Linked DNA regions of Callithrix jacchus. The protein of the gene in region 2 purifies or fractionates together with the protein of the main gene of each other region. This does not show direct contact. Links are inferred from orthologs where the notes say so. Each region holds a gene or a part of one and is shown on either strand. Other genes may lie near its edges.

Region 1 (3,811 bases), on a different chromosome or scaffold from region 2:
GCTACCTTCTTTCAGTCTCATCCTGATAAGCATGTACAGCTAGAACCATAAATAGAACAAATGTCTTTAATAAAAACCCCTAAGTTCACTCAAAATGTTTGATACAAGAAATGTGAATACACAAGGGTGTAACGATGGGAAATCTCATATTTATTCAACTTGCAGCCTAACTTTTACCTACCATTTTACTACCAACACCACTGAAGGAACCAAGAAAAGCTTTATTAATGATCACTTGGCTTGCCTCAGCTGTTGAAATGAAGCACTTTACAGTCTTTGTGGCAGCAGAATATACTTGTCCATGGCTCATATCAATGCTAAAATTCCAGCAGGGAAAAAAATGATATGTTAAGCACCTGAATCTTCACATGGAGGGGGAGGGGAGGGAAAGGAGGAAAAAAAGGGAACAACCAAAATAATTTAAGTAAATGACAGATTGGAAAACAGGGTTTATAAAAATTCTCTTGAGTTTATAAATTGTTAAACTCAATTTATAGCTATGTTAAACTACGTAAGAACCACTATACTGAAAGACCATTGAAGAATATTAGTTTATCTTTTAGGGAGGAAAATTAAGAAAGGAAAAGTAAATAAGATCTTACCTAAAGAAGTTTAACTGAAGCTTAGAACTATTTTGCTCTACACCCTCAGCTTTCGTTGGCATCCTTATAAACTACTGTAGTTAAAGTTTTGTAGAAACAGCACAGTTTTTTAAGACTGGCTGAACTTAGTAGCCGTCAAGAGTTCTCTTGTACTAGACCTGTGTCCCTGAAGAGTACCTCGCTGGGGTTATTTCCTTTCCTTGCATTGAAGAAGCAGCATCTAAAAGATCTAAAAAGGTGTTTCTCCTTGCAGAGATATCCCTTAAGTTATCTACATAATTTAATCCTGATGAATTGCAGACAACACACTTACATCTGACCAGCATTTATCTTACACAAATATAACAACAGCTTTGCAACGAACCTTAATTATACTACCCACTCCTTAACTTATTTAAAATAAAAAGTCTATAATTACACAATTTCCTTTAGAATTATTTTATTAAATCATAAATGTACAACAGCTTCTTAACTCTACACACGCACTTAAATTTTTTTAAAGGAAAAACGTTATGTCTTATTACACCATGATCCTGGCTAATAGCTTTTCAAAACTTTGAGAAAAATCTTAAAAAAGGTTTCACATGTCACCTGAAACTTACAAATTTAACATTATCAAAGAAGGAATGCTTCTACACTCTTACAAAGACCACTAGAAAGAAACAACAATTAAAAAGCTAAGAAACTGTCTCAAAGGCATTTTTTTTTTTTTACAATCCTTCCTCCACAGTAAGGTAATGTTATTAAATAATCCAATCCATTCACAAAATGGCTCTCTGCATCTGCTCTGGTGTCTTCTGCCATATCACTGCATATTTATGCATGACTGAGATAAGAGTTTCCTTAACATTGTTATTTCGATAACCTGAAGCTGTTCTGTTACCTCTGGGCTCTCATCCTCTCCTATTTATACAGTGAAGCCTGTTTCAACAGAAGTAAAGAGTAAAAAAAAAATAGGTTATGAAATTATCCATCTAACCAGATTTTAAGGAAAGATAACATGATCCTAAAAAGCTTTTACTCCTGCAGCTAGATCTCCCAAGATAATAATAATTGTAAAACTCAAAAGCTACTTACCCATGGCAAAGAGGAAGAAGCTCAATATCGGCTCCTCCCACCATAACCCCCACTTCCTCCACTGCCTCCTGGACCATAGTTTCCTAGAATTGTTGGAACAGAGAGAGAAAACAAACTTAGATTTCCCATGATCAGCCTACTACAGTTGATTCTATTTTATATCTATCAAATCTTTAAAACAAGCAGATCCTAACTTCTGCAGCCAGTTAGCAGTATTACTTGGGAGATCAATTACTCAGGTTTTAATTTTGTGGCTGACACTATTCTTTTCAATAAAGGGTTGGTCCTCTCACCATCATTTGGACTAAGATTTTTTTAAAGTACATCAAGCACAACACAAAATGTATAGTCCTGCTAAAAACCTCAAGAATAAACTAAGCAATGGTTTGAATCACAGTTGGAAGTATTTAACTTCAAAGACCCTCATACCAAATTTATACCCATTGCAATGCTGGTTGTATTTTTACTTGGCTGTTTATGAGCCCCTACCGGAAATTCTTTCAACTTCTCAACATCCCCACTTCCACCACAATTTGATATTAATTGCTTGCTAAAGTATTTCTGGAGACTTATGCATTAAGACCGCATATAGAGCACTGTCCAAATACGAACTACTTAGTATGGTATCTTCCCTTTAAATCACGAAAGGCTAAACCTTTAATCACAAAAACCTGAACAATCTCAATTTTTAGTTATAAATTACCTCCACCATATGGTCCCCCCATGTTCCTGCTACCACCAAAGTTTCCACTCTTCATTGGACCGTAGTTAGAAGGTTGCTGGTTATAATTTCCAAAATCATTGTAATTTCCACTGCCATAATTTCCTATAAATAAATTGAAATACTGACATAATGGACCTCAGAACAATACAAACATTAAACCAATGATACATACTGACTATTCAGGCCAAAGCTCCCACAAAAACAAATAAAACCAAACACTTATCTTTAACTTTTAAGGGCCTCCAGTGACAAATATTGAAATAAAAGATCAAGTGTTACAAAACCATTGATTCCACCCCCAATTCCCCAAATAAAGGATCTTATAAATTCCCAGATAATTGCCTGTGAATTTATTACCTCCTCCATAGTTGTCATAACCACCTCCGTAGCCCCCACCCTGGTTGCCATATCCAGGTCCTCCACCACCATATCCTCCTCTTCCTCCTCCATAACCAGGGCTACCTCCAAAATTGCCACCTATTATAAAATAAGCCTTTAAGTAATCACTTAATATTTTTAATGACATTCTTAACTGTCTCTCACACCCATTTATAACTTTTCAAAAATACACGTTTGTATGTGAAACATTCAGTGAGATCCCTCTAAAATAAAATAGCCTCAAGGGCTGAATACATACCCTTGGTAAACATTTGATGGCTGAGGTGCCTACCCAGCCAAATGGACAACACCATGTCTATACTCTGACAATACCTGTAATGCCTCAGTTTTCCCTTAAAACTATCTTAAGGTTACCTTTTCAAAGTATCTTGAAATACTGCACGTACATTTTGGCTAACGATTGCAAAACTAGACTAATAGTGGGCTTAAGGGAAGTAAAAGAGCACCTCCTCTTACTAGCCCAAAAGATAAAAGTTTCTATTACGTCTACCTACGAATTACCGTATCTTTCTAAAACCATGTACTTAGCTGGCTTTTCAGACTTCCTCAGACTGGAGTGCAGTGCTGTGATCTTGGCTCACTGCAATCTTGGCCTCAAGCCTGTAATCCCAGCAATTTGAGAAACTGAGGCAGGCAGCTTGCTTGAGCCCACGAGCTCAAGACCAGTCAGGGCAACATAGCAACCCCTCTCCAAACCAAAAAAAAAAAAAAAAAACACAAAATTATCCATAATGGTGCACACCCTTGTAGTTCAGCTACTCAGGAGGCTAAGGTGAGAGGATGGCTGGAGGCCAAGGTTGCAGTGAGCCAAGATCTCACCACTGCACTCCAGTCTGAGGAAGGAGGCCAGACACCATCTCAAAGAAGGGGGGGGGGGGGAGAAGACCCAACACTCCACTAAATATGTTCTTTACCGTATCCTAAATAGAAGTGGGGAAAGAAAAATTTACTTTCACATAAAACAAAACTTACAAAAAAGCCTGGGGGCTGAGTCTCAAATTATAGTTAA
Region 2 (4,879 bases):
CAGGTGCGCCTTTCGGATAAGCTGTTGAGAAGTTGCTGAGGGAGGACCACCCATGTCCATGCCTATGCTCTTGTGTGGATCCACCTGTGATCATAACTTTGTGGATGACACAATTCCTCTCCAGGGCAGGCAGGGCTATGCTGTCCTCCATGACTTGCTGGGTCCCCTCTAGGCCCTTGCCTGTGTGGTTGGGCACACGTGGGAATGAGGGTCTAGGGGGTGGGAAATCAAACACCACAGGGATGGGGCAACTACCACAGTCCCCATGAAACGAGCTCTCCTGGGCAGCGAGCCAGTGTTCTGCCTCCTGGCTGCAGTGGAGTCCAGATCTCAGGCCAGGAAGGGGAAGTGCAATGGCTGTCCAGACCTGGTCCCATTCCTGGCCAGGTGCAGTGAAGTCACTGGCCAGTTTTTGGGCCTCAGTCTCCCCCAAGTAATTCAGCCTTGAAAGTCAGTCACCATGCCTGTAATTCTGCCTTATCTTCTTATGACAAACAGGGATGGTTTTCCTTGGCAGAATGGTGGTAAGACTCTGAGCCAGAAGGGGACTGTCCCAGAGAAGGCAGCAGACAGCATGAGGAGCAGGGCTTTCTAAGGCCTCCGACAGCCAGCAGGGCCTGGCCAGTAGGTTGATGGTAGGGTCCCCTTTTGGGACTCTGCCAACAGGGAGTCCTCAGGGCTTGTGTGAGTGCCGTCAAAGCCACAGGATGGGATGATCACCTCCTTTCTCCAGGATAGGCAGCCAGGGCCAGAAAGCTCTGCATTCCCCTGCCCAACCTGGAGAAGAGCTTCTTTCCATTCTAAGTCAGTGTTTCTGTCTCATTGCCATGCTAGCCCCCACTGCTATGTCCCACACCAACCATGGCCACTTCATACTGACCAGGTGGAACCAACACTCACATTCCAGTCAGCTCCCCATCCCTCCCCAGGGAGAACAGGCCCACAGGTGGTACACCTGTGAGTGGAGTGGAGGCCAGCCACAGGCCTGATCACATCTGCCTCCTTTGCTCAAAAGCCCTGCCCAAGACATGCCTTGGTCCCAAAAACAGTACGCTGGGACCTAACCCACACGCCTCATAATCTTTAAGCAGAAACAGCAAGCAGACTACAGGACAGAATAGGTCATGCTAGTAGGATTAGGCTTAGAATATCCCAGAGAATCTCGGATGCCCCTCCCCGAAGGGGCAGGAGAGTACTTCTGAGAGTTAAGGGGAATAGGAAAAAGAAGGGCTGGGCGCCGTGGCTCACTGTAATCCCAGCACTTTGGGAGGCCAAGGTGGGTGGATCACTTGAGGTCAGGAGTTCCAGACCAGCCTGGCCAACGTGGTGAAACCCCATCTCTACTAAAAATACAACAGTTAGCCAGGAGTGGTGGCATGCACCTGTAATCCCAGCTACTTAGGAGGCTGAGGTAGGAGAACTGCTTGAACCTGGGAGGTGGAGGTTGCAGTGAGCTGAGATTGAGCCACTGCACACTCCAGCCTGGGCGACAGAGCTAGACTCTGTCTCAAAAAAAAAAAAAGAAAAAAGAAAAAGAAGGATTAAAGAAGACAGAAACATGGGAGAATTTCCTTTGCATAAGAATGCCAAGGTCTAGAGTGAAGAGGGTGAAGTGAAGTCAGGCTGCAGGAAGGTGCACTGCACCTCACCTTATGGGGACTTGGGAATGGGAAGCCAACGCAGAGGCATCAGCAGGACACATACAAAGAGTTTCTAACAAGAGCAAGATTTCCAGTCTTCTCTTTATTCCCAAACACTCTGTAGGTAAAGCAGAGCCTCAGTAAACCTGAGAAGCAGAAAACCTGGCCTCCTGGCTGGGTCAGCTTCAGTTCACTTTTCTTCATTCCTAACAGCATAAGGAGGCTGTGCAAACAGGAGGCACTCAGCAGAGCCTGAAGAGCTCTGGAGTCTTAGCTCCTGGGAGGCCACACATGTTTGGTGGCACCCCGCCTGTCACAGTCCCTCCAAAAGCTCCCAATTATCAGTGGCTTTCTGTGTTTTGTCTGAGACAGGGTCTCACTCTTGCCCAGGCTGGAGTGCAGTGGCAGGATCTCAGCTCACTGCAACCTCTGCCTCCCAGGTTCAAGGGATGCTCCTACCTTAGCCTCCCAAGTAGCTGGGACCACAGGCAAGTGCCACCAAGCTCGGCTAATTTTTTCATTTTTAGTAGAGTGGGGGATTCGCCAAATTGTCCGGGCTGGTCTCGAACTCCTGGCCTCAAGTGATCCACCCCCTCTGCCTCCTAAAGTGCGGGGATTACAGGCAGGAGACACCCTGCTCGGCCAGTGTGGCCTTTCTTCAGGCCATCAATTGCCAGCCATGGGCTGTGGCTCTGCCCCTCACCGGACACGACGTCACAACCGGGATGCGAACAGCAGATTCTGATCTCCAACTCCAGACAATTCGCTGATTTACTTCTGCAAACCGGAGCTGTCCGGTGTTGCAGGGTCGGATCATGTAAACAAGCCTGCTGCCAGGCAACTGAAGACAGAGGCACGAATAAAGACGCCCCGTAAGGAATGGAAACAAACTCCTCTTGGGAAACCCAGATTTGGGATTTGGAAACGGGCTTGAGATCAACCTGAAGCTTCATGACGTCTTCTTACTTTCTGTTTTCACGGCCTTTCCTGTTCCACTACAGCAACGCCCTCCGCTTCACGTGCCAAGTCCTGACTTTCTCGGAATAGCTGCCGACCCAGCACCCCGTAGGCCATGCCCTGGGGACGCCGATGTCCCCTGGGGCACAGCGTCCGCTGTCGAAGCCGGGCGCTTGCCCCAAGTGCAGACACTTCCGCAACCGCCCAACAGTTAGCAGAAGCCCAAGGCAGGGGACGCCCCATTCACCCCATCCCAAGGAAACTTCGCTAGGGCAGGAATTAAACCGGGAATGGGCCTCGCAGCCACTTTCCCAACCTAAGGCTCTGGGTCTGGGCAAGCTCGGGACCCGTCGCCCTTCTCCGGCGGGGCCATGGCAGGCTCACTCCGCGGAAGCCAAGGTGCGGCTGGGCCCGGCTCTCCAGTCCCCTCGCCGAGCCCCTCCCGCGCCGTCCGCCGCGGCCCTGCTCCCTCCCGGTCCCCACGGGCCCCACGCCCGCGCGCTGCCCTTACCGGGCTCCAGCATATGAGCGCGTCAGTGTCCGGGTCGCTCACGAGGGTCCACAGTTTGGTCAGGAAGGCCGGGACGTTGCTGGGCCCAGCGGCGCCGGGGCCCACTGGCAAATCCATGTCGGGGAAGGCGGGAAGAGGCGGAGGGAGCGGCCGCGAAGGGGGATCGAGGGCCGGGCTAGCGCCGTCGCCGCGCCAGCCGCCCAGGCCGCAGTGCCACCCGCTGCGCACACACAGCCCCGGGGCCCAGCATGGCCGTCGCCATCTTGCAACGGGCGCGCTCCCGCCGCCGCCGCCGCCGCCACCGCCCTCCGGCGTCACCCCCGGCGCGCGCACGCAGGCCCCGACCCCGCCCCGGCCCCTCCGGGAGCCTGCGCGTGCTCGTCCCGCCTCCGTCACCCGCCAATCGGGACCAGGTTGGGCGGGGCGCACCCTCCTGCGCACGCGGCCCTATCGCTGCCGGAAGCGGCAGTTGGGCTCGCGGCCGGCGCGCGGCGGGACATGGCGGATTCGCTCAGCGTGCGGCCGTGGAAGCGGCGGTCGGAGCCCGCGTTGGAACCTGAGCCCGAGCCAAAGGTGACTGCAGGGATGCAGGGCGGAGGGGCGCGTCCCTATCGGGACGCGGCGTGCACGTGGCCGCGCGGGGGCCGGCGGGCCCGGCTGCGGCTGTCATCTGGGCGCCCGTGTCCCGTAACTCGGCCTTGCGCGTGGCCGCAGCTCCTCTGCGGGGGGCGTCCTAGGCAGAGCGGACTGCGGGGTGAAGGACCGCGTCCAGTAAGCAAAGAAACGGGGGAGCGGGGAGAAGTGGGGACCGGGCCCTTGCAGCAGACTCTCCAGCCGTTCCGTTTGTGCATCCTGCCAATAAAAGGGCTCGGCTTGCGCCCCCCAGTAAATGCTTAACCTATTTGTACGCTACTTAATTTCGTTTTTATGGTCACGAGTTAGACATGAGAATAAGAAAACCTGAATAGAACCCATATCTGCTGCATTTGCTGTATCAGAATTCACTGTTGTTCTCTGCCAGCTCAGCCCCGGCTTGATTGGGGGGGTCGTAAAATTGGGTGTTGGAGGAAATGGACAGCCAGCCCCTCACAGCCCCCTCGGCCGCACTGGGTTGTTGAAACTGCCCCATTGCTTTGTGAAGCGAATTCATCCTGCTCCCCATCCCGACTGAAAGGCCCGCAGGCAGCTCTAGGCGTCAGCCAGGTTCTACTTCCACCCTTGGGCTAAATGGTCCTCAGGAGCCAGTTGTGTTTGTCCCAGATCAGGCATGCCATTTTCACTGGTTACTCTGATTGTGTAGCTAACTGAACACTGGAGACGCATCATGACTCTGTGACAGAGGCATTGTGTGAAAACTCAGTATACAATAGCTGATAAATTCGGTTCCTTCCTTAAGTGAGACTTGTAAGCTATTAGGAAAACAGTAAAATCTAGAATTTTGCATTCAACTGCTTCCTTTTTCTTTCCTTTTTTTTGAGACAGAGTCTCGCTCTGTTGCCCAGGCTGGAGTGCAGTGGCTTGATCTTGGCTCACTGCAGCCTCAGCCTCCTGTGTAGCTGGGATACAGGCGCCTGCCACCACCAGCTAATTTTTGTATTTTTTTTTTCTTTTTTTTTTAGGCGGAGTTTCGCTCCTGTTACCCAGGCTGGAGTGCAATGGCGCGATCTTGGCTCACTGCAACCTCCGCCTCCTGGGTTCAGGCAATTCTCCTGCCTCAGCCTCCTGAGTAGCTGGGATTACAGGCACGTGCCATCATGCCCAGCTAATTTTT

Evidence for each region. The genes of interacting proteins can lie anywhere in the genome.
Region 1: the proteins of HSF1 (region 2) and HNRNPA2B1 purify together in Homo sapiens (affinity purification with mass spectrometry; 3 studies listed by BioGRID, with this or other methods). This does not show direct contact. The link is inferred for Callithrix jacchus from reciprocal best matches to the Homo sapiens genes HSF1 and HNRNPA2B1.

Annotation. Positions count from the first base shown.
Region 1 is NC_133512.1:31,908,056-31,911,866, reverse strand, and holds the end of HNRNPA2B1 (heterogeneous nuclear ribonucleoproteins A2/B1), read right to left. Parts: intron 2,881-3,811; coding exon 2,761-2,880; intron 2,506-2,760; coding exon 2,383-2,505; intron 1,763-2,382; coding exon 1,701-1,762; 3' UTR 1,680-1,700; intron 1,524-1,679; 3' UTR 1,025-1,523; downstream 1-1,024. UniProt on the Homo sapiens protein: Heterogeneous nuclear ribonucleoprotein (hnRNP) that associates with nascent pre-mRNAs, packaging them into hnRNP particles.
Region 2 is NC_133517.1:53,330,537-53,335,415, forward strand, and holds the start of HSF1 (heat shock factor protein 1), read right to left. Parts: upstream 3,379-4,879; 5' UTR 3,226-3,378; coding exon 3,109-3,225; intron 2,784-3,108; exon of another isoform or gene 2,582-2,783; intron 2,482-2,581; exon of another isoform or gene 2,344-2,481; intron 1,864-2,343; exon of another isoform or gene 1,729-1,863; intron 1-1,728. Other genes in the region: ribosome biogenesis protein BOP1, read left to right, coding at 3,607-3,681. UniProt on the Homo sapiens protein: Functions as a stress-inducible and DNA-binding transcription factor that plays a central role in the transcriptional activation of the heat shock response (HSR), leading to the expression of a large class of molecular chaperones, heat shock proteins (HSPs), that protect cells from cellular insult damage.